Notamacropus eugenii: one gene and its partners. The protein of the gene in region 2 interacts with the protein of the main gene of each other region in a pairwise test. Links are inferred from orthologs where the notes say so. Each region holds a gene or a part of one and is shown on either strand. Other genes may lie near its edges. The genes, in order: TBC1D22B, DEUP1, ESRRG and TXLNB.

The links.
Region 1: the proteins of DEUP1 (region 2) and TBC1D22B interact in binary tests that used the Homo sapiens proteins (3 or more experiments, as listed by UniProt). The link is inferred for Notamacropus eugenii from reciprocal best matches to the Homo sapiens genes DEUP1 and TBC1D22B.
Region 3: the proteins of DEUP1 (region 2) and ESRRG interact in binary tests that used the Homo sapiens proteins (3 or more experiments, as listed by UniProt). The two-hybrid records come from large-scale screens. The link is inferred for Notamacropus eugenii from reciprocal best matches to the Homo sapiens genes DEUP1 and ESRRG.
Region 4: the proteins of DEUP1 (region 2) and TXLNB interact in binary tests that used the Homo sapiens proteins (3 or more experiments, as listed by UniProt). The two-hybrid records come from large-scale screens. The link is inferred for Notamacropus eugenii from reciprocal best matches to the Homo sapiens genes DEUP1 and TXLNB.

The regions. Positions count from the first base shown.
Region 1 is NC_092873.1:94,915,560-94,922,780, reverse strand, and holds the start of TBC1D22B (TBC1 domain family member 22B), read right to left. Parts: upstream 3,003-7,221; 5' UTR 2,828-3,002; coding exon 2,772-2,827; intron 1-2,771. UniProt on the Homo sapiens protein: May act as a GTPase-activating protein for Rab family protein(s).
Region 2 is NC_092876.1:165,501,997-165,509,210, forward strand, and holds the start of DEUP1 (deuterosome assembly protein 1), read right to left. Parts: upstream 3,004-7,214; 5' UTR 2,648-3,003; coding exon of another isoform or gene 2,642-2,647; 5' UTR 2,467-2,641; coding exon 2,449-2,466; intron 2,211-2,448; coding exon 2,137-2,210; intron 1-2,136. UniProt on the Homo sapiens protein: Key structural component of the deuterosome, a structure that promotes de novo centriole amplification in multiciliated cells.
Region 3 is NC_092873.1:420,779,219-420,786,170, reverse strand, and holds the start of ESRRG (estrogen-related receptor gamma), read right to left. Parts: upstream 3,002-6,952; 5' UTR 2,129-3,001; coding exon 2,073-2,128; intron 1-2,072. UniProt on the Homo sapiens protein: Orphan receptor that acts as a transcription activator in the absence of bound ligand. Binds specifically to an estrogen response element and activates reporter genes controlled by estrogen response elements.
Region 4 is NC_092873.1:225,871,780-225,879,582, forward strand, and holds the start of TXLNB (beta-taxilin), read right to left. Parts: upstream 3,001-7,803; 5' UTR 2,911-3,000; intron 1-2,910. UniProt on the Homo sapiens protein: Promotes motor nerve regeneration. May be involved in intracellular vesicle traffic.

The DNA of each region.
Region 1 (7,221 bases), on a different chromosome or scaffold from region 2:
GTTCAGTTCAGAAATCAAACTCATTCAATAAAAATAAGAAAGTACCATCTTCCTGAGCATCAAACTAAGTCTCAGTGACACATTAGTAAACCAAGGGGTCTTATCAAGAAGGTATAGAAGAAAAAAAATTTTTCATTCTTTAATGATTTTTGTTGGGGGGTGGCTGTATCTGAGGAAATACTTTATTAAATAAGACTTCCATTTTTTGGCACAAAGTTTTCTGGATCTGCTTTCAAAGGAACTAAAAGCAATCAGTCATTGCTTTATTTTCTCCATGTCAGCTTAAAGAATACTAAATTAGTTTTACTTCTAAGTTCTTCAACACATGTATAGCTTTCTCAGTTCTGTTGCACACAACAGAAGTTTTTCTTTAGTGTGAAAGAGGAAAAAGTTCTACGATCAGGAAGTTGTTAAAAATTTGGGTCCAAGTCAAAGCATCATTTAAGATCTTTTGTTATTTCTAAAATATGGTCCCTGGCCCAGAAATAAATCCAGATCTAAATCTGTTTAAGAAAAAGAACAAAGTACTAACAAAAATCACCAATTACCTAACACACCAAACGCATAATGGATCAAGGATTAACGCTAAGTTCCTCTATAACCAGCAGGGGTAAAGACCCAGTTATAAGGTTCACTTGTCCTGAATTTTAAAAGAATATGAAATGGTTTGGTTTGGAGGAAGGCCACAGAGCACAATAAAAAAACTCTCCTATCACCCTTCACTAAAGTATAGGGTTTCAAAAGATTACATCTTCCCCTTAATTGTTTTATAAGACAACATTAGAAATACCTAAAATAGACAGAAGTAGTGGCTGTAGCCCCCATCTTCTACACACACCCCTTTTTCAATTTAGATTCTCCAAAGAATTCCCCAAAGTTACTCATGTCATATTCCCAGGCTTCCAGGGCAGACAATATATAATGATCTCATCATGGAAAACCCCGTGAACAGCTTTTAATAGAGGTGGAGACCCCAATGAATCAGGAAGGAAAATGGAACAGTTGGGGAGGAAATGGCCTGTTAAAACCTCTCAAATATGAATTCAAAATAATATAATTAACATTAAGTTGATTTTGAAGCTGATTTTTACTCTATCCCCCTCTCCACCTTCATGTGGGTCTTAGTAGGGTAATGAATAAAACATAATAACTATATAACTTTCCCTAACCTTCACTTCTTTCATTTTTTTCTCTTAGGAAGTCACAACCATCCCATTTTTTTCTGGGGGTGGGGGAAGAAACAAGCAAAGGAAACCAACGAACAGAAAGAAAAGAGTCAGAAACATTGAAAACGACAATTTATGTGGCACCACTAGAGCTGGCCCTGTCTGCAACTGCCTTCTGTTCACTCAAGAAGCACCAGCTTCTTAAGATATCTCTGAGGAGGTTTTCTATCCTTCTTTCATCCTGCAAACCACATGTAAGGGAATGGATGTGCGGATGCCAAGGCATATTTATGATGCAACAAACATGAAAAAAGCAGTCATGTTAGCTAATTACATGAAGCATTTGGGGAGACTTCTATATACTTGCACAAGGACAGGATCATAGGAGAGTGTCTATGGATGTTAGCTATTAGAAACTTTGAGAGAGATAAAGACAGAGGGAGGGAAGGGGGAGAGAGAGGAAGAAAGAGAAGAAGAGAGAGGGAAAGAGGGAGAAAAAGAGAGGGAGATAGAATACAGAGTGAGGGAGAGAGGGAGAAAGAGATTGGGAGAGAGAAGGAGAGAGGTAGAGGGAGAAAGAGGAGAGAGAAGGGGGGAGAGAGAGAGAGAGACAAAGAGAGACAGAAAGAGACAGAGGGACAGAAAGAGAGAGAGGGAGAGAGAGAGATGGTTGAAGGGAGAGAAGGGAAGAAAGGAGGAAGGGATGGAGGAAAGAAAGAAAGATATTAAGAAAAAGAAAGAAAGAATTAAATGAGATAAATCCTCCAGACAAACGTACACTCTCCACATCCCCTTATAATACTCCTAATGAGGCTGGCTAACAGCCTTCCCCTTCTCTACCCTCTGCCCCAAGCCCAGGCACACACAAGCTGGGTGACCCTGGGAACGTCACCTAACACCTCAGCGTCCCAAGAAACTCTACGACTGCGAAGTCCTAAGAGCAAAGGGAGTTCCCCACAGGTATGAGGTTACGGGTCCACAAAGACAAGGGGCATCAAGGACCCCTCCAGGCTCCCCTTCCCCAACACGGGGGGCCACGAGCAGGGCTGGGGGAAGCAGCACCTGCAGGCACCTAGCGAGCAGATAATTAACAAGTGCTCGTTGGCCGCCGGACAGAAGGGGACGGCCTGCATTTGGGGGGCTCGAGAGGGGCCCGTGCTCGCGCACCCTCCCCGCCGTGCACCCCGAGGCTCGGAAGGAGAGGGCCTCTCTCGATCCGGCCCGGGGAGCCCCCTCCCCTAGTATCTGCTCCGGAGAGCAGCAGCCTGGCAGCAGCAGCGCAGACGGCAACGACGGCGGCCACGCAGCCCGGGCGCTCCTCGGGGCTGTGCCACCCCGGGGAAGTGGCTGCCCGTCTCGGTGCCTCAGGTTCTGCATCCCAGTGGGGGCGGCAGCTCCACGGGGCTGTGGTGTAGACGGACCTCCGGCCGACAGGACGCTGATCCTCAGCACGGCCCCCCCAGCTCCCCGGGGGGTCCTGTACGCACCTCCCAGGCGCCGGCAGCCCCCACTCCCCGCTAGGAGCAGCGCACACACGCGGGGCTGGGGCTCGGGTGGATCCCGGCCCCGGCCGTCCAGGACTCCCTCCCTCGCTAGCTCGCTCACCTCCCCGGCAGCTTAGCGCTCCTCTTCCAAAACTGCTTGCTGTTGTCTCCGGCCATGGCTCGGGCCCGGGGAGCGGGCTGTAGGCGGGGCCGGGGAGGGGGGGGAGCCGGAGAGACGCCCCCAGGACCCCGCCACCCGAGGGCCGCGCAAGGCCGCTTCCCTCCTGCTGCCGCCGCCGCCGCTGCCACAGCCGCCGGTCACCCGCTCCCACCTCCCGGGGGCGCCATGTTGGATGTGGGCGCCCCCCCTCCTCCTCACGACGCCGCGCCGCTGCCATTGGTCGACGGCGGGGGCCGTCGCCACGCAAGCCAATGAGGAGCGTGCGTCGTGTGGGCCGCCGAAGTCGAGAGTTACGTCAGGGGTCGGGCATACTTACAGGTGGGCAGCGGGGGAGGAGTCCTAGAGGATGGAGGGGCGGGACTTAGAAGCGCCAATCACCGGGAAGAGCTGGAGTAGGTAAAGAAACCTACACCTTGGTGAGAGAAAGAAGACACTTTTTTATTGAGTTGGGTCTCTTAGGACTCCGAGTTGACTTTTTTCTTTTCTTTTTCTTGTCCTCTTCTCTCCTCTCCTCTTTTTTTCTCTCTCTTCCTTTTCCCTTTCTTTTCCTTTTTCTTTCCTTTTTTTTTTTTGAGGGGGGTGTTGGCTGAGAGAGGGTCAAGGGAGGACCAGATGAGAAGTAGGAAAAGAACTCTTCTTCTAAAAGTTAGAAACTCGTGATGAAAAAATGTTATTCACCTCCAGAGAGAGAACTGATGAACTCAGTGCACACTGAAGGAAATTTTCTTACTTTTTTTTCTATATGGCTAATATGGAAATATTTTGCATGATTTCACAAATATAATGGATATCATTTGTTTGCCTAAGTGGGTGGGAGAGTGGTGGGAGGGAGAGAAAGAATTTGGAACTCAAAATTTAAAAAGAAAATTTCAAAAATAAATAAAAAATATTTTTAAAAATGAAATAAAAGTTAGGAAGTTAGTATTCCAATGTCCTAGCTCTCATCACCAGCTAATTGTCACTGCTCTATACACACAGTGAAAAACTTTCTCCTTCTGAACCACAACTTCCTTACCCACAAAGCAAAGAAAATGCCTTTGACTCAGGGCTACCACTTCTGCAACAAAAGAGCGGTTAGTTGATGAGAATCCCATTAAGCACTTAGAGAACTGGTGAGGTGTACCACATAAAAGAAGTAATCTTTGTCCCATGGAAGTTCACATACTAGATAGTCCACGTTCTTTCTATTACTTTGGGGAGGCAACCTGGTTTAGCGGATAGGGAGCTGGGGCCCCAAGCAAAAAGATTTAGGTTCAAGTCTCACTTCTGACACTACTGACTATATAGTGTTATAGTCACTGCTGCAGGCTGTTATCTAAAGTTGTAAAACTGTAGAAAAGACACTGACCTTTATTGGTAGAGGAAGGTCCCTATTCATTCAACCAACATACATTAAGCTTCTACCATATAGACAAGAATTACACAGGTTGAATGACCTACTATCAGTGTACAGAAAGATAATGTTGATATTGAATCATATTATGGAAAGAGCCCTCTCTAGGAAAGGCGAAAACCATGAACAGTTGACTATAATAGACAGTATTATGTAAGTGTACTGGAAATAGATAAAAGTGTTTTTTCAATAACGAGAGGGAAAGTCATTACCTCTTGATGACAACCCAGATGTTGGCACATCTGTATAATGGTGTAAGAAGTTGCATAGTGATTTCAGTCAAGAATTCATTGAAAACAGAGTGCCAAAAACTATTTTGTGGGAGGGCATGATTGCTCTCCATGGATTCAGTCACTAAAGTTAGAGAAGTACCCTCCAAAAATCGTTGTATTTAGAAAAACCTCCCTGACTCCATTTCTATTTTCAAACTGTACTATCTATTGGGATGAGTTTCTCATGCTTACTACTCAGGCATGACTTTCTTTCAAACTAACTTTTGTACCTTTCTTTAAGATACTTTTGTCCCATGACCTCAGTATTGAGATTTGAGATAGAGATCACTCAACTCATGCTTTTATAGACTTTGATCATGTCCTCTTACCTCTTCCCCGCATACTCCCACCAGATCTCTTATATTCCTGAGCTGTTATACTCAAACAGAAGCTGCTGCATCTATCCCTTTGATCATTGTTAACAGATATTTTCTAATTATGTCTCTCATGAAATGTTGTGATCAGAGCTGTACACAATATTCCATATATGGATATACCATGGTTTTGTGCAGGGTATAAAAAAATCTCTGGGCTAAGAGAACTTAGTTAACCTTATTCATAACAACAAAGTAGACCAAAAAGAGAATTCCTCTTGAAATGGGCCTGGGTATGCTTCTCATTTATTTCTTTCATTATCTCCACCAGGTAGTATCTAGAAAACTTTAGTATCTGATACTCCCTTAAGGGCAACCATCAGGGCAATCTTTACAACCATCAGGTTCACTGGGTTTCAAAACACAGAACAGTTCTATATATGGGGAACATAGAAAGACATTACATCCAAACTCAAAAGAATCAAACCCCCTCCCCCCACCTCATCACTACCTATCATCCAACCTTGCCTCCCAGGAACCTGTACAGTCCTTATGACTTACAATACTACCTTGAATGGTGCTCCAGAAAGTAGGAATGCCTCTGGATCTGTGTCCACACTTTGGTGTTCTGTTCCTGCCACCTTTTTTACCACTGATGTTCTCCAGTACTTGCTGTCTCACCATCCTCTCTTTTAATCTGCTTACTGGCTGTTGATATTTGCTACTTCCATAATCTTTAGCTCTTCAGTCTGTAAAGTAATTGCATTAGAGGAGCCTTAGTTGCCTGTATAACAGGCAACTATTTCTCTCCTCTGGGGCCAGAATGTCTCTAGGCTACTTATACCTTCTGTTGTTTTTAACACCTTAGTCTCAGGAGTCTCAGAGCACTACTCGGTACACTAAGGGCTCTTACACTATTTTGTGTCATGGACCCCTTTGGCAATCTGAAACTTACCAACAACCTTCTTAGAACAATGCTTTAAAATTAATTTAAATATATATATATATATATATATATATATATGATTACAAAGGCAGCCAATTATATCAAAATATAATTTTTTTAATTTAAAAAGTAGTTCTAAATCACTATTAATCAGAGAAATGCACATATAAACAACTCTGAGGTAACATCTCACACCTACCAGACTGGCTAACATGACAAAGGAGGAAAATGTTGAGGGGATATGGGAAAACTGGGACTCTAATGCATTGCTAATAGAGTTGTGAACTGATCCAACCATTCTGGGAAGCAATTTGGAATTATGCCCAAAGGGTTATAAAACTGTGCACTAGTAGGTCTATATTCCAAAGACGTGAAAACCTTTGTACAAAAATATTTATAGCAGCTCCTTTTTTTTTTTTTTTGAAATCGAGAGGATATCCATCAATTGGGGAATGGCTAAATAAGCTGTAGCATATGATTATAATGGAATATTAATTATGTTTTAAGAAATGAATGACAAGCAGGATTATTTCAGAAACACCTGGAAAGACTTACATGCACTGATACAAAGTGAGCAGAACCAGGAGAATGTTACACACAATAATCATAATATTGTACAACAAAGAGCTATGAATGACTTAGCTCTTCTCAGCAATACAATAGCCCAAGACAATCCACTAATGATGAAGCATATTCTCCACTTCCAAAGAAAAAACTGATACTGTCTGAATACAGACTGAAGCATGCTATTTTTCTCTTCTTTCTTTCCTTCTTTTTTTTATTTATCTTTTTATATAAAATGACTAATATGGACATGTTTTACATGATTGCACATGTATAAACTATATCAGATTGCTTACCACCTCAGGGAAGAATGAGGGGAGGGATAGAGGAAGGGAGGGATAGAATTTCAAACTCAAAACTCTAAAAAAAATTTAAAAATTGTTTTAATATGTATTTGGGGAAAATTTTATATTTTTTAAAATAAATGTTAGCAGGTTATCCTGAAAAAGAAAAAAGTCCCAGATTAAGAACCCCTACTGTAACTCAAAGCACTTAGGTATCCATTAAATTCTCCCATTTCTTTCCATTGTCCACTTTGAATCAGTTCACAATGAATCTCTTCCTTTTATCTCTTCCCTTCCCCAGTACCTGAGTTGTGTGTCTTCTGTTCAATTAGCACCTTCCATTTATTATCAGTGGGATTCAGAGGGTACTGGGAATCCCTTTGCATTTGCGAACCAGTTCTTTCCAGCAAAGGCAGTAAGGAAGAAAAAAGAATTTGAAGGTCCTTGCTGGAATGGGATAAAGATTTCTATTTATTTCTGATTACTTTCCTGATAATGTTGAGAGTTTTGTTGGGGCAACAATACGTTGAGTAGTGAAGTCTTTACAGCTGACATTCCACAACTGTAGCCATATACACTTCCCTAAGGAGACAATGCAAGTATACATCACTATCAGA
Region 2 (7,214 bases):
AGCAGAAAACTGGGAAAGAATTTTTACAGCTAGTGTCTGTAATAAAGGCCTCATTTCTAAAATACATGGAGAACTGAGTCAAATTTACAAGAATACAAGTCATTTCCCAACTGACAAATGGTCAATGGATATGAACAGGCATTTTTCAGAGGAAGAAATTAAAGCTATCTCTAGTCATATGAAAAAATGCTCTAAATCACTTGATTACAGAAATGCAAATCAAAACAACTCTGAGCTACCACATCACACCTGTCAGATTGACTGACATGACGAAACAGGAAGATGATAAATGTTGGAGAAGATGTGGGAGAGTTGGAACACTAATTCATTGTTGATGGAACTATGAGCTGAATCAACCACTCTGGGGAGCAATTTGGAACTATGCCCATAAGGCTACAAAAATGTGCCAACCCTTTGACCCAGCAATCTGACTTCTAGGGTTGTATCCCAAAGAGATCATAAAAATGGGAAAAGGACCCACATGTACAAAAATATTCATAGCAGCTCTTTTTGTGGTGGCCAAGAACTGGAAATGGAGGGGATGCCCATCAATTGGGGAATGTCTGAGCAAGTTGTGGTATATGAATGTAATGGAACACTATTGTGCTATAAGAAATGATAGACAGGCAGACTTCAGAAATACCTGGATAGTCTTATATGAACTGATGCTGAGTGAAATGAGCAGAACCAGGAGAACATTTTACACAGTAACAGTCACAGTGTGCGAGGACTGTTTTTGATAGACTTAGTCCTCCACAGAAAATCAAGGACCTAAAACATTTCCAAAAGACTCATGATGCAAAATGCCATCCATATCCATCAGAACACAGAATAAAGCAGACCATTTTCTCTTTTGCTATGTTTGGTTTTGTTTAGTTTTACTCATGCTTTCTCCCATTCATTTTAATTCTTCTATGCAACATGACTAATGTGAAAATGTGTTTAATAAGAATGTATGTGTAGAGCATAAGATTGTATGCCATCTTGGAGAGAGAGAATGGAGGGAGGGGAAGAAAATTTAAAACTTATGGAAGTGATCGTTGAAAATTGAAAACAAATAAATAAATTTAAAAAAAGAAATTCCGAAGAATTATTTACGCTTGCTTTGCAAATTGATTTGAGCTAAAAAAAAAAAAAAAAAGTGATGAAAGCAATACAATTGTTCTCCACCCTTCTTGCTTTAATTTTTCTACCTTCCCTCCCCATCTCTCTTTCTCTCTTCATATGTATATTATATATGTATATATACACATATATACATATATGTGCACATGTATATGTATGTGTGTATGCATTATGCATGTGTGTATACACACATACTATATATGTGTGTATGTATATAATGTACATATGTATATATTTTTATGTGTGTATAGAGAGAGAAGGGAGAAAGAGAAAGAGAGAAAAATGTAGGAACTGAGATCAGAAAGGGAAGAATAATTATATTGTTTTCTTCACTTAATTTTATATACATATATCGTTAATATTACATGTGTATTCTCTAGAATTATATTCATTATATGTCAGCAGCACATGTGCATGTATTTACATATGCATATACACAAAACCAACATCAAGTTTTAGTGCTATATTTTGGCCAGCAAAAAGCCTTGTAGTCTCCTTACTTTAAAAGTAGTTCCCGTTTATATAACACTTTGTGTTTTGTAAATACTTTCATCTCAGCCTCGTAAGCTAGGCAGTGCTGGTATTATCCCTGTATTACAGATGAGAAAACTGAAGCTCAGAAAAAGTCAAATAACTTCCCCAAAGTCATCCTGCTAGTTAGTGGAGGAGCTAAAAGTATAGTGAAGTCTCCCTACTTTAACACAACTGTTCTTTTACACTACAATCAAGCTTCTCTTTTAATAAAGTCCAAAACAAGTAAGCATTGGACTTAAAGCCAGAAGAGCTTGGTTTAAGTCCCAGCTCTGCCACTTACTGTCTATGAGCAAACTAGTTCATCTCTCTGGGCCTCAGTTTCCTCATCCATAAAATGGGGTAACTTGTACTACTTCTCTTAGTGAGGTATTGTAAAGAAAAGGCTTTGTAGACTTTAAAATGTTATCTAAATGTAAGCTCTTATCATTACTATTAAGCAGAATTTTCTCAAGTACGAAAGGAAACCTCAGCACTTACCCCATCAGATTCTGCTCTGGGTTCTCTATCTCAAGACGCGACTCCATTTTACCTAGGTTTCTTGATCTTTTAACCTGTTCAGAAAGGGAAAAAATAATAATCTAGAATATCTAAAGTATTTATTAATCTAGAAAATTATGGAATGCTAGCTCTTGGCAAAATTGTCCATTTTAAATTTTCCTTAGAAAATGTGACACTCTTTCTCTTCAATGTACTATAAACAGAACTGCTAAGTGACTTGATTTACCTATGTGTGACCTTCATCCCCCCCTTCCATCTTCTCTAGCAGACTGTAACCTCTATCACACTCACCTTCTTGCTCTCTCTCATTCACTCTTTCCTTCCCTCACTGTCTCTAATCTCTCCCTAGAGCTACTTGATTGCTTCCTGCCTTCAAACATGCCCAAGTCTCCCTCAGATTCTCACTAGACTCTACTGCCCCCTCAAGCTATCATTCTATATCATCCCCCCTTTTTCAGTCAAACTTCTAGAAAAAGCTGTCTACCTTCATTGCCTCACTTCAGTCTCATCAAGTTAACTGAATTTGTTCGCTCCAAAGTTACCAAGTCTTTCAATTTTTCTGTTTTCTTAGTCCTCGTCCTTCTTGACCTTTGTGCTGCACCTTTCTTCCTAGATACTCTATTTTCATGACATTGTTTTCTTTTTTCTCCTCTTTCCTTTCTAATTGCTTGCTCATTATCTCAAACACACCCCTAACTGTGAGTGTTCTCCAAAGCTAAGGCTTGAGTCCCCTCATTTTCCTTATTGTCTTAATGTCCACATAAGTTCCCATGGGTTTAATTATCACTCTATGCTGATGACTTCTAGAGCTATATATCCATCTAGAGCTATATATACATTGACAGTCTCTCTCCTGTCTAGTCCACATCTAACCCTACATCACTAACTGCCTATTGGACATTTCAAGCTAGATGTCACAAAGACATCTCAAAGTCAATATGAATAAAACAGAAATCATTAATTTTCTGTCCAAACTCTTTATCAAATTTCCCTATTTTTTTGAGACTTCCAGTCTTCCAGATTAGTAACTTCATTTTTATCCTCGTCTCATTCTCCCTGACCCCTTCCCTGCATCCCCCCGTCATGCTGATGGCCAAATGTGTCATTTCTAACTCTACAACATCTTTTCATGACTCCCTCTCTATTCACATAGCCACAACCTCAGCGGTTCAGGCCTCATCACCACTTGCCTACACTATTGCAATACTGCTGTAATTGGTGTCTCTGCCTCAAGTCTTTCCCCCTCTAATTTATTCTCTACAGAATTGTCACAGTTATTTTCTTTAAGTGAAGATTTGACCAAGTCAATTCCCTTCTCAGTAAAATGCAGCAGCTCTATATTGCCTTAAAATACAAACTCTTTTAACGTCCTCTACAACTTGCCTCCAACCTGTTTTGATATACATGTATTGCCTTTACCACACTTTATGGTCCATACAAACTGGACTCTGTTGCCCTCTCTCCCTCCCTCCCTCTCTCCCTCCCTCCCTCCCTCCCTCCCTCTCTCTCTCTCTCTCTCTCTCTCTCTCTCTCTCTCTCTCTCTCTCTCTCTCTCTCTCTCTCATTTTCCTATCACACCCCTACACCTCACAGAATCAAGCACCGTCTTCTCTAAAATGTCTTTCCTGATTTCCTCACCTTCTATGCCTACCCTCCTCAACTAACTGCTAGTGCTGGCCCTCCCCAACTATCAAGTATTTAACTATTTTGTATTTAATATATTGCTTGCCCCCCATAAAATATAAGCCACATGGGAGCAAGTTCTAAGTTGTACTTGATTTTGTATATACCCAGTACCTGAAATATTAGACCACACAAGATAACATATGTATAGCACTTTTCAAACTTTAAAGTGCTATATAAGTGCTATTATTGTTATATGGTTAATAAAAACTTGTTGGTTGATTATGTTCAGCTTCATGTAAACTTCTTTGCCTTTTTTTTCTGTTCCTTTTCTGGAACACCAATATGTAGGGGGCTCAAGGATATGATACAAATTCAAGTACTCTAGCCACTGAAAACTACAGCTCTTGAAGTCCATTCTAGAGTTGATTCCAGAAGTCAGCTTTCAAAGAGTAAGTCCCAGACTTTAAAAATACTTGCTGCCTATTTATTTCAGAGTTGTTTGTTCCATCAACCATCAAATATATGTGTGTCTATGTATAGATGTATATCTATATACATAGACATATATGTATATTTAAATCTGTGAGAATAAAATGGAATATACCACTAAAGGCTACTTATGGAGAAAAGAGAAAAATACAAAAATACTCTAATTCTATAAATTAGAGTATTATAAAGAAGAGGAGGAGGGAGGGGAGGAAAAGGAGGAGGAGGAGTAGGAGAGGGAGAAAAAATTAGGTGAGGAAGAAGACAAGGAGGATAGAAAAGAAGGGATGAAGAAGATGGAGGAGGAAGGGTTTGGAGGAGGAGGGGTTTGAAGGAGAAAGACAGAGAAAAGGATGGAGGAGAAGGATGAAGAGGAAAACGGGAGAAAAGAAGGAAGGAGGAGGAAGATGGAGAAGTATTAAGGAGGTAGAAGGATGACCATGACATCAGGATGGCGATGACATGACATGCAAGTGAATTGGATTTTAGTGAGTCAGGGTTGTTTAAAGTCACCAGCCTCACTTTCTCCTCCGGAGCCAACTGGGTCCAGTGGCCAGATACAGATCAGGATAACTGGAGGTGACTTCAAGGAGGTGGAAGGAGGAGGAGGAGGAGGAGGAGGAGGAGGAGGAGGAGGAGGAGGAGGAGGAGGAGGAGGAGGAGGAGGAGGAGGAGGAGGAAGATGGAGAAGTACTAAGGAGGTGAGAGAAGGAGGGTTAGTTGGGCTGGGATAATCTCAAATCAAACGTTTCCAAAGCCCCACTACCACCACCTCTCAAACCCCTAATCCGCACAAAGTTCCCAACTTGGCTCATCCTTCGCCACTCGCTTCCCCGGGGTCCGGCCCGGGGAGCCTCCCTATCCCCCTGTCCGGGCCGGGACAGCTCCCGGGTGTTGGGAGAAGCGGGGACACTCGGGAGGATCACCGGGAGCGGGCCTGGACCTCGGAGCGCCTTTAAGTACCTTGCCTGCTCCCGGCTCTTGACCGTCCGAAAGAGGGGAGGAGGAGTAGGGTAAAGTCGATGTAGCCCGCCACGATCCCGGCCTCTCCGGGCGAGCCGCTGAGTAGCGTGCCGTGGCCCTGGCCTCGACCCCAGCCCCGGCTCCGGCTCCGGCCCCGACCCAGACTGTCCTTTCTTCGGCCAGGCTCGGCCCGTCTCTTCCCCAGCTTTCCTTCCGGCCGGGCCGGAGCAATAGCAGCAGTGGCTGCCGCGGCGGTTACGGGCCTGGCTCCGACTGGCTCTGCCCGCCACGGCTCCCGCGGCTTCCCAAGGCGCCCCAGGTTGCTGTGGCAACGCGTGCCCGACCCCACCCGCGGAGGAATGCCAAGGCCAAGCGCGCCTGGAAGCCCCGGGACACTCCGAGGGTGCCGCTGCCCTGCCTGCGTTCCAGCGGGGCTCGTCCTGTATACCAGGGGGCTTTTTGGGATCCCCTTGGCCAGCTCCAGATCTTAAGTTAAAGTGTAAAAGAAGGGACAGGACGGTGGAAAACAGTAGGTGCTCCCTAACTGCCCACATGGATAGCCACACTGGCTCATCTTCAACGTGCCTTGAGTTTTACAACAGAAAGTGCCAGGCAAAAATGTAACCAACGACCTATGACAAAATTTATGAGTATTCCCTACTCAGAAATAGTAGTGAAGGTGTGTGGCTATGTATATTCATATGTATGAATATAATATCTTTGAAAAATGAAAATTCACCTTAGTTTTATTGCTTCCCTCTAGTAAATTTTGAGCTCTTTTGTTTATTTTTCACTTTCATAACATGGACACTGATTTGCTATTTTATTACAACTGTTCATTTAATACTTTTTTGTATATCCATCCAGTTCCATTAAAATTATAAAAGACAAATTTGATCATTTCTCATCAGCATGAATTTCTTAGATGTACTCTATAAGTGGCTTAGGTAATGAGTTCTAGTAAGTGTTCCTTTGTTCTTCCCACTGTGACTGAATAAAGAAGAGTCTTCATTCCATCTTCACTTAAAATCTTCTATGATGTTGAAAGACTTGGTCATGTTCTTGAATCATTTCTAAATTTCATCCTTGATTTGGAGAAGGGAAAATGGATCTTGAAAAGAAATTTAACTTATTATCATAGGATAGCCCAAAGTCACTTATATTCATTCACCCGATATGAATTCGCACTAGTCCATATGCTAGCAATATTGAGCAAGTCCCTTTTAGCATTAGGAACTTACATAAATTCATTATCATGAAGATCCAGAAGTCTGACTTAAGATCTGTGGGAAGAACTTATAGAAATATATGGCTGAATAGGAAGAGTTTGATTTCTCAAGAAACTTTAAAATCTGACTCTAGACAACCAGCATAATAACAAATCAAGCCCTGATTTGTAGTTTGCCAATGTCTGGGGTGCAAATGCTCAGGCTGAAAATTTAACAATCTACTCTTGTGAGCTGGTACTAGCTAGTTCCAATATGCCCAAAGATCCTACCAGTTCTTTTCCTGTCCCCCTTAATGTTAATACCTTTCCTCTGAGATTACCTTCCATCTACCATCTATCTGTGTGTCTGTCTGTGTACCTTGTGTATACATAGTTGTATGTTGTTTCTACCATTAGAATGTAACCTCCTTTGGGGAAGAGACTATTTTTGCCTTTCTTTGTTTTTCCAGGCCTTAGCACGTCTGGCTTATAGTAAACACTCAATAAATGCTTTTTGACTAACTCGTACCTGTGATTTAAGCCACATTTTTTACAAATTAAGGTAAGTATAGGGGCAAGACTGTCAACAGCAAAGTAGAAGACTGCTTAGGATCATAAATTTGGAGCTGGAAGAAGCCTTAGAAGTCATCAAATCTACCCCGTCAGCCCTTGTTTTATTTACAGATGAGAAAACTGAGATTGAGAGGTTGAGACATGCTTGGGATTACACAGCTGGAAAGTATCTAAAGCAAGATTTGAACTCAGGTCTTCCTAA
Region 3 (6,952 bases), on a different chromosome or scaffold from region 2:
TGATGGAAGTACAGCCCAAGTACAATTACTATGAATATTAATAGCATGTATAAATTCTGTGGTTTATTAATTGAGACAGAGAGGCAGATGTGTTGCTTAGCATTAGATCTTTCTGTCTGTCCAGTGAACCACATAACCATCAGAACTGCATCCAGATAATAAATCTGAATTTTTTTTAAGATGACTTTTAATTGAGCCAAAAAAGAAAGCCTGAGCTACTTTGAATCTTGCACCACAGCCAAAAGGACATGTGCCCTGATTTCATTTAACTGCATCCACTTTAAGAGGCTTATCTAAACTAATTATTCAAATTAGCTTTAAGAAGATAAATTCAAGAAAACTACATAAAAAAGACTCCTTTTTAAGGCCCTATTAAAGTTTCTTTTCTTTTGCTTATTTATTTTTGAAAGAAAGTTCAGAATCTGAGTGAGCTTTCTCTGCTAATCTCTTTTTTCCTCTCTTTTGGGCCAATATGAAGACATCTTACACTATCATATTCAGCCACTCCAAGTGTACTAAGATACAAATCACATCTTACTGCACATGTTACCTTTGTTTATTTTGTGATATTTGAACCCCAATATTTTAAGACTGTCTTCTTATTTGATTTTTCAAACTGAACAACTTGCCCCCTCTCCATAATTTCTCTGTCCCTGATTAAGCCCAACTCTCCCAGGGTATTTTCCAGGGTATACACAACATGCATAAGCGAGCACCCACACGGATGGTCTCACACACTCACTCTCTCTCTCTTTCAGACACATACACACACACACACACACACACACACACACACACACACACACACACACACACACTTCTGTCTAAAATCACCAACATATAGGATTGCAACTGCAAGTCACTTTTCATCTCTGGCTTAATTACAAAGAGCATTGCAATATGCAGTCACTAAGGACAGCTAGTGGACATCAACCTATAATACACTGTCTCTTCAACATATCCTTATATTTCCCCCTCACAAGCCACAGACATAGTGTTTTACTAAGTGCACCCTTTTCAAAATTATAACATTCTGTATTATTGTAATGTGAAAGGAAAGCAATATAACTGACTCAACAGAAAGATGAACCAGTGACAGCTCACACGATACACTAATATTTTATCCTGGCTGTAGGATGAAATTAAGTTTATGATCTGCTCATCTACACCAGAATACCTAATTTACTTCCTCGTTCAACACCCCCCACACACACACATTTACTCTCCCCCTTTGGTAATCTCAGCGTGAACTGGCTGGTACACAAAGATATGCATAAATACAAATTAAACTGAGTGTAAGGAGCAAAGTACTTTGCTGTATCTTGTGGAGATAATAAGTGAAATAACTCTACTCTGTCTGTACAACTCATTTGAGTGTAAAATATTAAAAGTCAGACTGTCTTTCTTTAGTTTTGGGTTTGTTTTTTTTTTGGTGGTGGTGGTGGTGGTGGTGTTAATATTCAGAATGTGTGAAAATCCCCAGTTAGTTAATGGATTGATTTGTCAGCTAAGTGCTGACTTAACGCTAACCATGCAAATAACATTATTCTCGACCTGAATTGCAGGAGGCTAGTTTTAAAATTGTTCTCTGAAGGAGAATTAGCAAATGTGCAATTTTCCCTCTAACTCTGTGAGGTAAGAAATGACAGGGAGATGGAAATATCTGTCAAACTGCAAATACATAAGAGGCACTCAATAGTATAAATCATTTTTGAATATTGTATTTTAAAACATTTTTTTCCTTGGGAAAATGGGTCCTAGTAAAAGATGCATTTTAACAGTTCAGTAAGCATTGGTGCCAAGTACCTATTCTTAGCACCTGAATAAGAAGTGACTGTCACACAGCTGTTTTACTGACAGTTACCGAGCCTCGCCTCAAAGGTAACATTGTAGTCAGAGAACAATTCTCGACTTACTGAATTAGGAGATCACCCCTCAGCACAAAAGGCACAACACAGACACAAACAGCCACTCATGCACACAAAATACACAGATCGTTACCTGAATCAGGGTGCGAATATATATATATTTGGATCTTTTCAATTTAAAAAGAAAAAAAAAAGGGTACCTACTCTTCTTCGTAGTGCAGGGAAAAAGATTCAGGAATGCAAAGTTCTACCGAATCCATGTGCGACCGGCAACCATTATTTGTGCACCCCAGCTATAAATCAAAGTTTCCTTGACAGAGCCCCGTGCAATTAACACAAATGTTCTCCTGGTGACAAGCCTATAGGCACAGCCAGTTGGGACCAAAAGCTCTCACACTCTCCTAATCAAGGACTTAAAGCCCCGATTGGAGCTTATTAATATGAAGTAGGGCTTTACATATGCAGTCCCACTGGCCCAGGCGAGCTCTAGATTGGAAGAGCTTCCGCCAATCAGAGGAGAGGAGAACCCAGGCAGCACAGATTGAGGAGAACCAGGCAGGTAGAGAGGGTGGAGATAGAGAAAGGGGACTGAAAACAGTGGGCCGATAAGGGAGGGGTGGAGGGAAGAGAGATTTAAATGCTACAAATATTTTCTGAGAGGCTACAAAGGAACATAATTAACTTAACTCCTTAGGTACTGGAAGGTTTTTTTTTTAAACCTAAAGTACATTTTGCCTGTTACCTTGAAAAGAAGAAAACATGCCAGACTCCCAGTTAATTTGGGGACGAATTCTACATAAGGTAGAGAAATAAGTTTCTGATGCCATTGTCTATGTTCCATTACATTTTTGCCTCATTGCTCAGTCTACTTTCTCATCCACTTCTTATAGCTCTTTATTTTTATTTTTTAATTTGTAGTGGACATTTAAAATTCAATATTTTTCTAAGATGCTTAATTACTTTTTTCATTATAATTGTTTATTTTTAGGTAGCGATGATTGCATAAATAGGGTAGTCTACACAACTAAAACAAAAGAATTCATTACTAAATTTTATATGCATCTAATTTATAAACCTATCACTTCCTTTTCTCTTACTAAACATGCTCAATGAACACTTTCACAAAATGAAAATAAGCAACTATGAAATCAATCATTTTTCCACTTGCTGAGGGTAGAGCAGAGAAGTGATTATAGTACATTAAATCTAAACAAATTGAATTTAAGTAGATAAGGACTGCATTGTGTAAAGCTGACATTGTTAAAATTTGAAATATAAATGTTCTTAATTTTATACTTTCTCTTCCCCTAAAAAATGCTTCCCACCTGAGTGGGAAACAGAAGTACAGATATTATTTTGACACCAGTGCATATTTCATGTCATGTGCGTGTGCATATATATTTGCATACATGGCACATTTCAAAATTAAGTAGGAACCTAGACGGGGCAAAATATCATCTTTTGTGACTCAGACACCTGGCCTCTCATTAGGACAAGTTAATGAATGAACCAGTTTGAAATATAAGATCATAAAAGTAGATTAAGAAAACTAGAAGAATAAATAATTGTTTTTTTTAACTACTTTTAAAATATGTAACACTAGGACGAAGAAATAATAGTTATTTTTCTGATAACCTACATATTTTTATTTTAATGAACTCAAATGTACACTGGAATAGATTTCAGACATTTATAGGGCAAAAAGAAAACTGCAACCTCATTGAGAATGTTACACGATTTTATAATTCATATGAGAAGCTCACAAAATCTTTAGAGCCTGGAGCCCTACATGATGAAAATAACAATCTTTGATATCAAAACCAATCAGTACACACACACAGAATGTGTTAATACACTAAATCAGAACTCAACGCACCCTCTCATAAAATCTCCTGGTTTTTCTGTATTAAAATAGAACGGCCAAGTTGAAGTCCAGAATAGAAAAAGTGAGAGACATGGTTTTTGTCCTTCCAAAGGGGAAGACAATTTCCTTTTGCCATGTATTTAACCAGACTTAAAGTGTAGGCCTGGTTACTTATATTTGGGGTCTAAATGCATGCAAGTTTCTATATCGGAACTAACATAGCAAAACTATGTCTGTGACTACTGTATAAAAGCAGGTAGTAAAAGCTTAATTACCAGTAGCATTATGCTGTCTATATTGTTAAATGTGAACTCTGCAATTAAGATGTAAATTTGGTTGTGAGCAGTGAATTAAAAGAGCTCTGAGATGTAGAAGAAAATCCAAGCACTCTGCAGACAGCAGAAAGACAAAAAAAGAATTGCCTTTATCAAATCTAAATCAAGCTACTGAATCATTTTTACAGTTTTTTTAAAAAAGCAAAAACCCTTTCAAAGGCATTTTGATTAAAAAAAAATTCCTAAAAATATAAGAACTTCAGCATTAGAAACATAAACACATGGTATATCATGCAAATTTTGATTTCTGAATAACCTAAAATTACCATTTACTGATTCAATCACAAATATTTTCTCCATGCAAACAGAAAATTTCAACATTCAGGAATCCTTCTGACAAAAAGCTATGATCTCAAGTAGTCTCAAATACTATGTTAAAAGGCATCTATCTATGTCTGTCTCCTTGCTGTATTCATACTCTTTTACATTATCATGCTGACAGTTCCGCATTTATTACTCCTTTGAAAGAGCTATTGTAAAGAATAGACTCTCTAGCCAAATTTATTATTATTGCCTAAAGAAACCTAAGTTATCTCATGTTTTCAGTATTTTAAAATTTACCTTTATACTCTGAATACTTACTTGTCTGCAGAACTGCCTATTTGGATTTTTGTGTGGTATATTTCCTTAAGCACACTTTTCATATTCAGGTATGAATTCTTCCATGTTACATGCACACATATACAAACACATTCGAAACACACATTTTTACCCTATTATGCCATCACGACTTTTCCACCAACCATCTTTGATCCAGGCAAGGAGCTCCCTTCACTGCAATCCCTGCTCCTTGAATGACCAGAAGTATTGTATTGGACTTCATACAGTAGTGTTTTCCTCCCCTGGGGCCAAAGTGTCACCTCTACCAGTCAAGGACCTAAGATTACTCCTACTGTCTTGAATTCAGTTTAACCAATTTAAATTTTAAAATAAAATCTATTGCACTAAACTTCTGGGACAGGTTCCAGGACATTTTATAAAGAAATACAGTTAAGTCATCCCAAGAACCTTTCCTCTTCATAGAGACTTCCCCATGGTGGGGGGGTAGAAAAGATGGAGAATGTGAAGAAATGGGTCTGTTATAAAGACTGGGATGATTGTATAGCGAACAATAGATTTCTATTTTAATTAATCTAGCAAAAAACCATGATAGACGTGTCAACATTCGGGCAATCAAATCTACACATTATAAAACCTACCAAAGCAGGAAGAATGGATTCAAATAAAAGAAGCTTTCTTGACAGTCTCCCAAAGAACATTAATGAGCTAAGTCTATATCAGACCATCAGACTGTGCATATAATTATCCCTATGTAAATCTTTCAACATCTTCATCTTTAAACAACCCAGTAACTCCTGAATTTCTAAACAATCTTATTCTTAAACCACAGCTAACCCACAGGCCACAAGGTAAAGATGCTTCCTTCACTTTTAACATTTTAAAGAACCACACCTCCCCCAGCATAGGCAAGTAAAAAAAAGTTTCTTTCCATATAAATACAAAGCAGAAGTTTTCTTTATTTACACATCAGAGTTGTATTTTTGAGTCTTTGGGCTTTCCAACTGGAATCATATCCGAATTCCTACAACCTGGCCAATTTTAGCAATGATTTCTTATGTTTTCATTAAAATTGGCCAAAAAATGCTTACTCTTCTTGCATTTTGCGCTGCACTATGAAAAGATCAAATAAATTACTGTTTGCAGCTAGTTCCCTTCTCAATACTCTAAAAAGTAACTGGGAAAAATCATAAAAATAAGCACATTTCAAATATATGTTTTACAACTGAATGATTAATACTAATATCTCCATGACTGTCATGCTACTTTTGAGTCACACTTGAGTTTTTATTTCCTATTTTTCATTTGTTGCTTTTTTTCATGAAAAGCTAAATGTACCTTTAAAATTATAAAAGGTTCAATAGCTGTTGACTTTGAGAATGCTGCTTAAACCAGCTGGGCAGATGTTCCCCCAATTCTGTAACGTTTAGAAAAGTACACTATGCATTTCTCTGACTTATCTTTTATCTATCACTGCTCAAAGCTAGTACTTATTATAAAAAGAATTAAGATGAGCATTAGCTCATTTTTTTCTTCTCAAACCCAAACTCTAAAATATACGTACATTTAACCTTTTGTAGAACATTAACTTGCCTCCTGAAAACAAAGCAGAATGCCTTCCTTCAGAAGTCAGAATGATGGCAGTATACGCATTTACTACCAAAACCTCCACAATTCATCAGCTCCTTAAAACATGTCTTTCATTTGCAAGGCACAAAGGACTGGCTAAATTGATAAGAATCAATAATTTTTTAAAATTCCTAGAAGTATACAAACATATTCAAAAGTTATCCTGTCCCTCCATCCTGGACCCAAATTGGGGAATACAATTAGCTGAGGTGTATTAAATAGCTGGATGCATATAGCAAATCTCCACATCTAGCTGCCACACTTCCATTATAACCCATCAAACCCCTTTCCTATGGAAGCTTGTTCAAAGGGGGAAGGGGGGGAGGAGAGCAAAAGTCTGTTACTGTCTAAAATAGCTCAGATAAACTAAAGGAAGGAATTCCATTACTCTGTTTAATTAATACAGGATTATTTTCACTTTCATTTTGTGAAGCTAATAATATGACTGCTGGAATGTCAGTAAAAATTAAATCATAAGCTAGTGTGATACCAAAGGGAAAACTTACTTTAGTTCTAGTGTATTCCCAATAGAAATTTTGAAAATCTCAGACATTTACTCTATTAAAACAGCAAATGCACTTTTTTTAGTTGCTGCAAGATTTCAAGGATCACTATGGGTTGTATTTACAGAGCAAGAGTTAACATTTTGAAATTGTAGATTAATAAATGAGTTGGTTATATTGTTTCTTGAATGTTAA
Region 4 (7,803 bases), on a different chromosome or scaffold from region 2:
AAGGTATAAAGGAATTGTACGATAGGAAAAGAAGATGGGTTGCTCACTTGTCAAGACTGAGATACGACAAGTGGACAGCCAAAGCATTCCATGGATACCTTAAAATGCTGGAAGTGAGAAAAGCCTGCAGAACATTGGATGGATCCCCTGTGGTGAACTTTTGGGAGAATATAGGTAAGCCTTACACATGGGTTGGGAAGGCATGGTTGAATCAAGATATGCATTACTGGAGGGAACTTTCAAATGGATGGGACCACTCATCCATTTGCATTTTTGAGCATGACACAGATGGATAAATTATAGACCTCATCCACTAGTGTCTCTATCTGTCTTCATGTGTGTAAATATATATATATATGAAATTGTGATTCTCCATTAAGTACGCTAAAACTTTTTCTAGAAAATTAGTACTGTTTTTTCAATATCAATATTCTGTCCTGGTCACATGGTGGCAAGGCATAGAATGCTATAATCTATGAACAATTAAAAATTAATATCATTCAAAAAACAATGGAGAGACACATGGGTTTATATGTATGTGTATGTATATATATGAATGCATATATGTGTGTGTCAGGTTGTAACACTCAGGACATAAAGAGCTACAAAGAAAAACGAGTAAAAGATGACAAAAATACATGATAGAAAGAAGAGATGTGCTAGTCATGTGGAAAGATTGAGAGATAGCTGTCACCTCATGTGCTTCACTGGTATTTTTATGACATGAGGAGAAAGTAAAGTTGTTTGTTTTGTTTTTTTAGCACAATGGCAGCACTCCCTCAATAGCAAGCTGCAGGGAGAACATGGTCAAGCATAAGATGGGCAGGCATAGATGATTTGTCAATTGCATCATTGGAAAGAACATCCACACTGATGTTACTGTGGTTGCATCTGAGTGAATAACAGGTAAGATCATTGATTCTATGACACTAATAGGTGCGTTAAATATTGTTTTAAAGAACTTACTTTACTATAAATAACAGGGAGAATTACCCACAATGCTCGTTTGGAAACAAGTTGGAATTCTCAATTTAAGTAGATTTTGGAAGCAAAGATATTTGTTGTTTTACATTCTATCCAAAAGCTAGAAACCTGAGAGCACAGTGGTTTAAAGGAAAAAAAACTCTGAATGTGCAGTCAGAAGTGACTCAAGTTCTATTCCTGACAGAAGACCTAAGTCTTGGCTTTCTGCCTTTGATATCTACTGTGTGACCATAGGAAAGTCATTTAACTTCTCTAGTCTCATTTCTGAACCTGCAAAAAGGGATTAATAATAACATAGAATAATTTTTATAATAATAATGATAATTATTAATAAGTACTGATCTTATAAAGTTGCTATGGGGATCAAATGATGTAAAAGAACCTTATAATTCATAAAGTTTTATATAAATATTGGCTCTTATTATTAATCATTGGGCAAAGATCAGTCCTGGTAAAACTTGGAGTCTATGATTGTCTTGTCCTGTGTCCTATCAAGTACTGCAGATTAACTTGCGTTGGCACCTGCTACATATACTTCATTAAATTGTAGTAACTTTAACCTAAGCCAGCATTTAGGCTCCTGTTGACATCAGTTCTATTAATACCTACTGATCCATTTATTTTTAACAATAAAATTGGTTACTCTCTTAAAAAAAGAGACCCCATTTTAGTCTCTTAGTGTTTTGTAATGATATTATGTTGAGTGGAATAATGTAAGTATAGGTGCTGTATGAAATAGATGCAGGATCTGTTACCCTTTCTCTCACCAGTGTATTCAATGCCAAGATCTTAACAAGAAACAGAAAAGTTCTTCAGTTTAGACAGGTCCCTCTCTTTTCTTCCCTCCAAGGCAGTTTAACAATGCAACCTGCCAGCATCAGCTCAATACTGACAAAAAAGTAAATTCTCCTTTTTTTACAGCATTTTTGTCTAGCCAGGCTTCTCTCAATCAATTTTATAAAGCACTTCTTCTTTTTCTTAATCACAGGCATTTTAATTTGATCCCTGTAGGGTACACACATCTGTCTATATATAGCTTCTGCCTCTCCCCAGCAGAAAGACACATGGCACCCTCTGTCCAGCCAGAAGTTATTTTAAGCTCTTCTAAAAGGAGGTTTGGTATTTAGTTAACACTTCATCTTTGAAAACCTTAGAAGGAGAACATTATTTTAAAAAATTAAATCCCCAATGGGAAGAATTAACAAGTTGAAATAAATACATTAAAAATGATTAGGTAACATACTCATATACATATCTGTATACTTAAAGAGGTCCTCTTTGGTTGAAATCAGACCCAAATTTACTCAGATTCTGTAAATAATAAATATAAATAGTAGCCTGTGAACACAGGATCTGGGTTTCGGCCAGTGGAACTTGTATATGAATTTGCCTTGTATTTTTCAGGTGTAAAGATTACTCTAATTCCATATAGTAAATCTATTGTAAGCCCTCTGGATTTTCACATTATATTTGCTTTTAAATAGGAATAACGAGTCACTGAGCACTCAGGGATCCTCATTTCCTAAAAAGTAGCCTGACGATATCAGAAAGAAGGCTAGTTTAGGAAAATTTCTGTGTTTCTTTTTAATTGTCCTTTTCTGAGCAAATACTGATCTTCTAATTAATTGCTGGTGGTCAAAATAGGGAGTATTACAAAACTTTCTCTTGTATAAACTTTATTATCTTGACTTTTTTTCATTCTTAAGACTGAAAATTTTTTACTACCAATTTTGGCAGAAGATTAAAGGACCCCCATACCTTACTGAGGAGCATTATTATTATGCACAAATAAAACCATGGAAAGGCTTCAGCAGTTCACTGTCAATCTCCAAGTTGAGCTGTTTGGGCGATGCACACCTCCCCTCCACCCACAACCCCAACCTCACAACTTTTAAGGTTACTTCAAAAAGTGTTTGTTGAACTTACCAGTAGGCGAGGAACAAAGCAAAGAGAGGAAGAGAGAGCCAGAGGAAGGAGGTAGTTAAAAAACAAAACAAAATTTAAAAACCCCAAGCGAACCAGCAGCAGGGCACAGCAGGAACCAGAGCCAGACACTCACCCCTGTTCCTGAGAGAGAGTGAGAGAGAGAGAGAGAGAGAGAGAGAGAGAGAGAGAGAGAGAGAGAGAGAGAGAGAGAGAGGTGGAAACACACATACACACAGAGTGAGAGATGAGAAAGGGGGGTGGGGGTGGACCAAGGCACTGAAGCTTGGATGATATATATAGCGAGGGATAAGTAATATGCAAAATTTAAATGTGATACCTGGGGTGGGGGGTGTTCAGAGATAATTGGCAACTTCTAGCACTTAACAGTTTCTTCCACTTTGTTATTTTTTTCTAAGAAAAATGGAGACAACTGGAGAGGCCCTTTCCCCCACTGCATTGAAGGCTAGAAATACTGACAGCTAGAGTACCTTTATTTTGGGTCAGTTAATTTTTTCACCTTGGAGGGTTTCTCATTCTGGCATTCAGCATTTCTCCGGTATGGTTTGTAATTTCTCTTCCTTGTCCCTCTCATGCTAGTTTAATTAATTAGTGTTTTGTTCCTGGGTATGTGGTATCAGATTGCTTATGGAGAAAATGGGTGAGGAGGAGAGGGAGAGATATATGACTTTAACAATGTAAGAAATGAAACACTTTCTTTATGATGGGATGATATTTACTTGTACGTCTTGAAACAACCAAAACAAAGCAAACAAACAAAAAAAAACCCACCATGAAATACCAAAGTTTCTTGTCCTGGTTTGTAATTTTATCTATTATGTGCCCTTCATGATGGGCTAACCTGGGGGTAGGGAACCTATGGCCTTGAGGCCACAGGTAGCCTTCTAGGTCCTCCAGTGCAGCCTTTTGACTGAATTCAAGTTTTACAGAACAAATTTATTTATTAAGGGAATTTGTTCTGTGAAGTTTGTATTCAGTCAAAGGGCCCCACTTAAGGATTTAGAAGGCCTCATGTGGCCCTGAGGTCACAGGTTCTCCACCCCTGGTAACCTCTTTTCCTTATTATTGGTACTCTATATGCCCTGAGAGAAAATTCCTATAGTAGTGCTGATTGAAGGTATTGCTAATATTATGACAGTATGGTAAGGAGTCACAGAATTCCATCTTTGCAGCTTTCCTTCACAATTCTGCAATAGCATATAAAAAAAGATGCCAATTTCTAATGGATCATTGTTACAGTACAGTGCTGAATGACATAGGAATGTAGTGTCCTAAGCATGGAAACATTTTTATTAGACTTGGAATAGATTTTCTATTGTGAGACTTTTAGGGATTGCTTACATACTGAATAATTAATATAGCCTGTGGAAAGGAACAATGTATGGGAAAAAAACTGCTAGATTTTTTTGGAATTGGAAGACCTGGATTTATGCTCCAGCTCTAACCTAGAACTTGTTCTGACTTTAGACAGCTTTTAGGAGTCTCAGTTTCCTCCAATGTAAAATGAGGTCAATAATACTTAACCTAACTGAGTTGTTATGAGGAAAATGCTATACAATCTTGAAGTGCTATACAATCCTGAGTAATTGTTATTTCTCCGAATTATATCATCTGCAAAAATGTGCATGCATTTACTTAAATGATCTCTAACGTTAAAATGTTCAATAATTGCTAGTAGCTAGTCTTGGATTGCATATCTCTCTAAGCCATTCTCCACACCATTGCATAATTGATATTCCTAACATGTACATCCAACCATGTCATTTCCTTGCTCAAGGAACTTTGGTGACTCCGTATGTCTCTAGGATAAAATACAAATCCCTTTCTTTGGCAGTTAAAGTTCTTTCTCAGTCTGATTTCAACCTGTCTTTTGTGACTGTTTCTTATCACTTCTCCTCATGTACTGTACATCCAACCAAACCAATGCCATACATGACAGTCTTATCTCCCATTTCTGTGTCTTTGCAAAACTCTCCCCATGCCCGAAATGGGTTCCCTTCTCACCTTTATTTCGTAGAATCCCTTAGCTGGTGTTCAGTCACTTCAGTCATTTATGACTCTCTATGACCCCATTTGGGGTTTTCTTGACCATGATGCTGGAGTGGTTTGCCACTTCCTTCTTCAGCTCATTTTTACAGGTGAGGAAACTGAGATAAACAGGACCCAGGCTCACCCAACTGCTTAATGTCTGAGTGTGTATTTGAACTCAGGTCTTTCTGACTCAAAGACCAGCACTCCATCCTCTGCACTATCTAGTTGCCTCCAGAATCCCTAGCTTCCTTCAAAGCAGAGATTGAATACTACCTAGTATAGTAGGGCTTTCTTAATCTCCCTAGTTATTAGTGTTCTCCCCTCACCAGCATTATTTTGCATTTAATCTGTATTTTTTCTATATACTTATTGGCATTCACACTGCTTTCCCCTAGTGGAACTCAAGTTCCTTAAAGAGATATTTTTTGTCTTTTTATCCTCAACAACTAGTACAGTATCTAGCACATAGTAGGTGCTTAATACATGATTGCTGAATGGATACCCTCATTTAGTTTTCATCACATTTAACACTGGATATTGCACATATAAGTTTCTCATGGAAAATATGTGAACACACTGTTACAGTAGAAAGAGCCTAAAATAAGATCATAGGACTCTGGTAAAAAAAATGACTTTTGATACCATCCAACCAACCTACCACTTTCCAGAGGATGGGGGGACTTGCCCAAAGTCACTCAGGTAGTAAATGAGAGGGGATTTGAACCCATGTAGTCTGACTCCAAATTCAATCATTTTTCCACTATTTCACACTAACTACTCTTCCTAAGGCTTTCCCTTTCTCTTTTCTCTTTCTCCTTTGGTGACAACTGGCCATCTTTACTGAGTTTAAGGAAAAGTGAAGTATACTAGTATAGATGCAGTTCATGGATTTCCATAGAACATATTTCTGAAAGTCTGAAATTACTTTCCCAATCTTTGTTATTGCTATTGTTAAATTAATTAGCAATCCAGATAAGGGTAGGAGATTGTTAAAATGTGATCGCCTTTGTGATGTTATAATCTTGCAAGTGTATCAGCCCAACTGATAAATGTTCTTATTTTTCTGATGCTTTTAAACAGATAAAGTTTACTTCCAAATAAAGTTTGCTTGATGGCCTAGAAACTCTGAGTAATCAACCCTAAATACTTAATCATTTTTGGGGGGAGCACCACACCTCTTGGGGGGCTTTTCTGTGTTTGTTTTCTTTTGAAGTTGACTTGACTGTCATAGTGAGGAATGTAACTCAGAAGACCTTGGTGTGCCATATGTGGGAAGGGACACCTGGAGATTTTCTTTTTCTGGATTTCTAGTAGAATGTTCTTTGAATTTCAGGGATCCCTGGAGAAAAATGGGAGTACCTTGCATTGTTGCAGGGGCCCAAAAGAATTAGACTACATTATGAGTGTAGACCTACAGAATAGGGGGAGGGAAGTTTAGTTTAATAGGGAAAGAGCCAAGTGCCACAACCTCTCCCTTAGCTAGTTTGTAGGCAACAAGCCAAAATAATTTGGTTTCTCACCTGAAGTTGAGACGTTGACTATCACTTGACCTCAATCCCTTTAGGATTATCTGAGAAGCTCTCTAAGGAACAAATTTCCTTCAGAGATAGAAAGCTAATTTTCTGACTGAAAAGGGTGACTGGTGAAAATCCTCCCATAGAGAAGCTGCAAGTCTGCTTATGGAAAGGTATGACAACTTGTAATAAAAAGGCTTTGCTCAATGATTTGGAGCATGCCCAGACATTCTGCAACTGGTTCAGGCCTGCTTACCCTGTGGCAAAGAGGAGCCTTTCTGATTGACTGTGAATTGGAAGTGAGTATTCAACAGGCTCTATTAGATGACCACAGTGAGGTTTCATCCTCATTCCTGCCTGGCTGTGAATCAGTGAGGAGTCAAAAACAGTTGAAAGTTATCGGTGGAGACAGAGAGGTCTCAGGCCTTTATTTCCCCACTGGGCCACAGTAATATACTTTGCTCTTGCTTTTTTGTTGTTGTTGTAGTTTGGTTGACTTCTGTAACTGATCTCTACTACTGTAGGTGAAGGAGTAATGGAAACAGCTCTGACACTGTGAACTTCAAAAGGTCAGAATGATGTGTCCTCAGAAGTCTGAGAGCTTGAGTCTGTGCTAGACCAAAAGCAAGGTTCCCAAGGAACAACCTTGAGGACTCAATCTAGCAGCATCAAGTTTAGCAGTAGGTGAGACAAGGATTCATTCAGTAACTATTCTGAATTTTGAAGTAAACTAGGGGATGAGGTTGGGGAATGAATTCCTTATGGCAAACCTTAAGTCTGAGACCACTATCTCCATGGACTAGACTAGGGTGGCACGGGGAGAGTGTATGCTTAGTTTTGGGGGAATGGTTTATATCTCTATTCATATGTCTTCTCATATCTCTTTGAAAAAACTAATTGACATTAGTTGGCTAAATGCATATAAGGTGCCAATCATTGGTGATTGATACTTGAAGCACACAGCAGAACTGGGTCTCAGGCTGATACTGTTAAAGACAGAATTTTCCAATCCCTCAAGGGTATCTCTGGAACCCAGAGTGGGGGAATATAGTCATGAGGCTTGCTCTAGAGATCTGATTCATCAGTGAAAATGGGAATTCAAGTAAGGACTCCTAGAGTTTTAAGGGCTACACAGATCTTTGAGGTAATATTTCAAAGGACTATTTAACAATTGGAAGAATCCAATAATGGGACAAAATACCTTACAATGGATAAATGAGAAAGTATTCATTAAGTTCTCACTCTGTGACTAGCCCTATGCTAAGTTCTAAGGATACAAATACAAGACTGTGCCTGCCCTGAAGGAACTTACATTCTAACAAGGACAGAC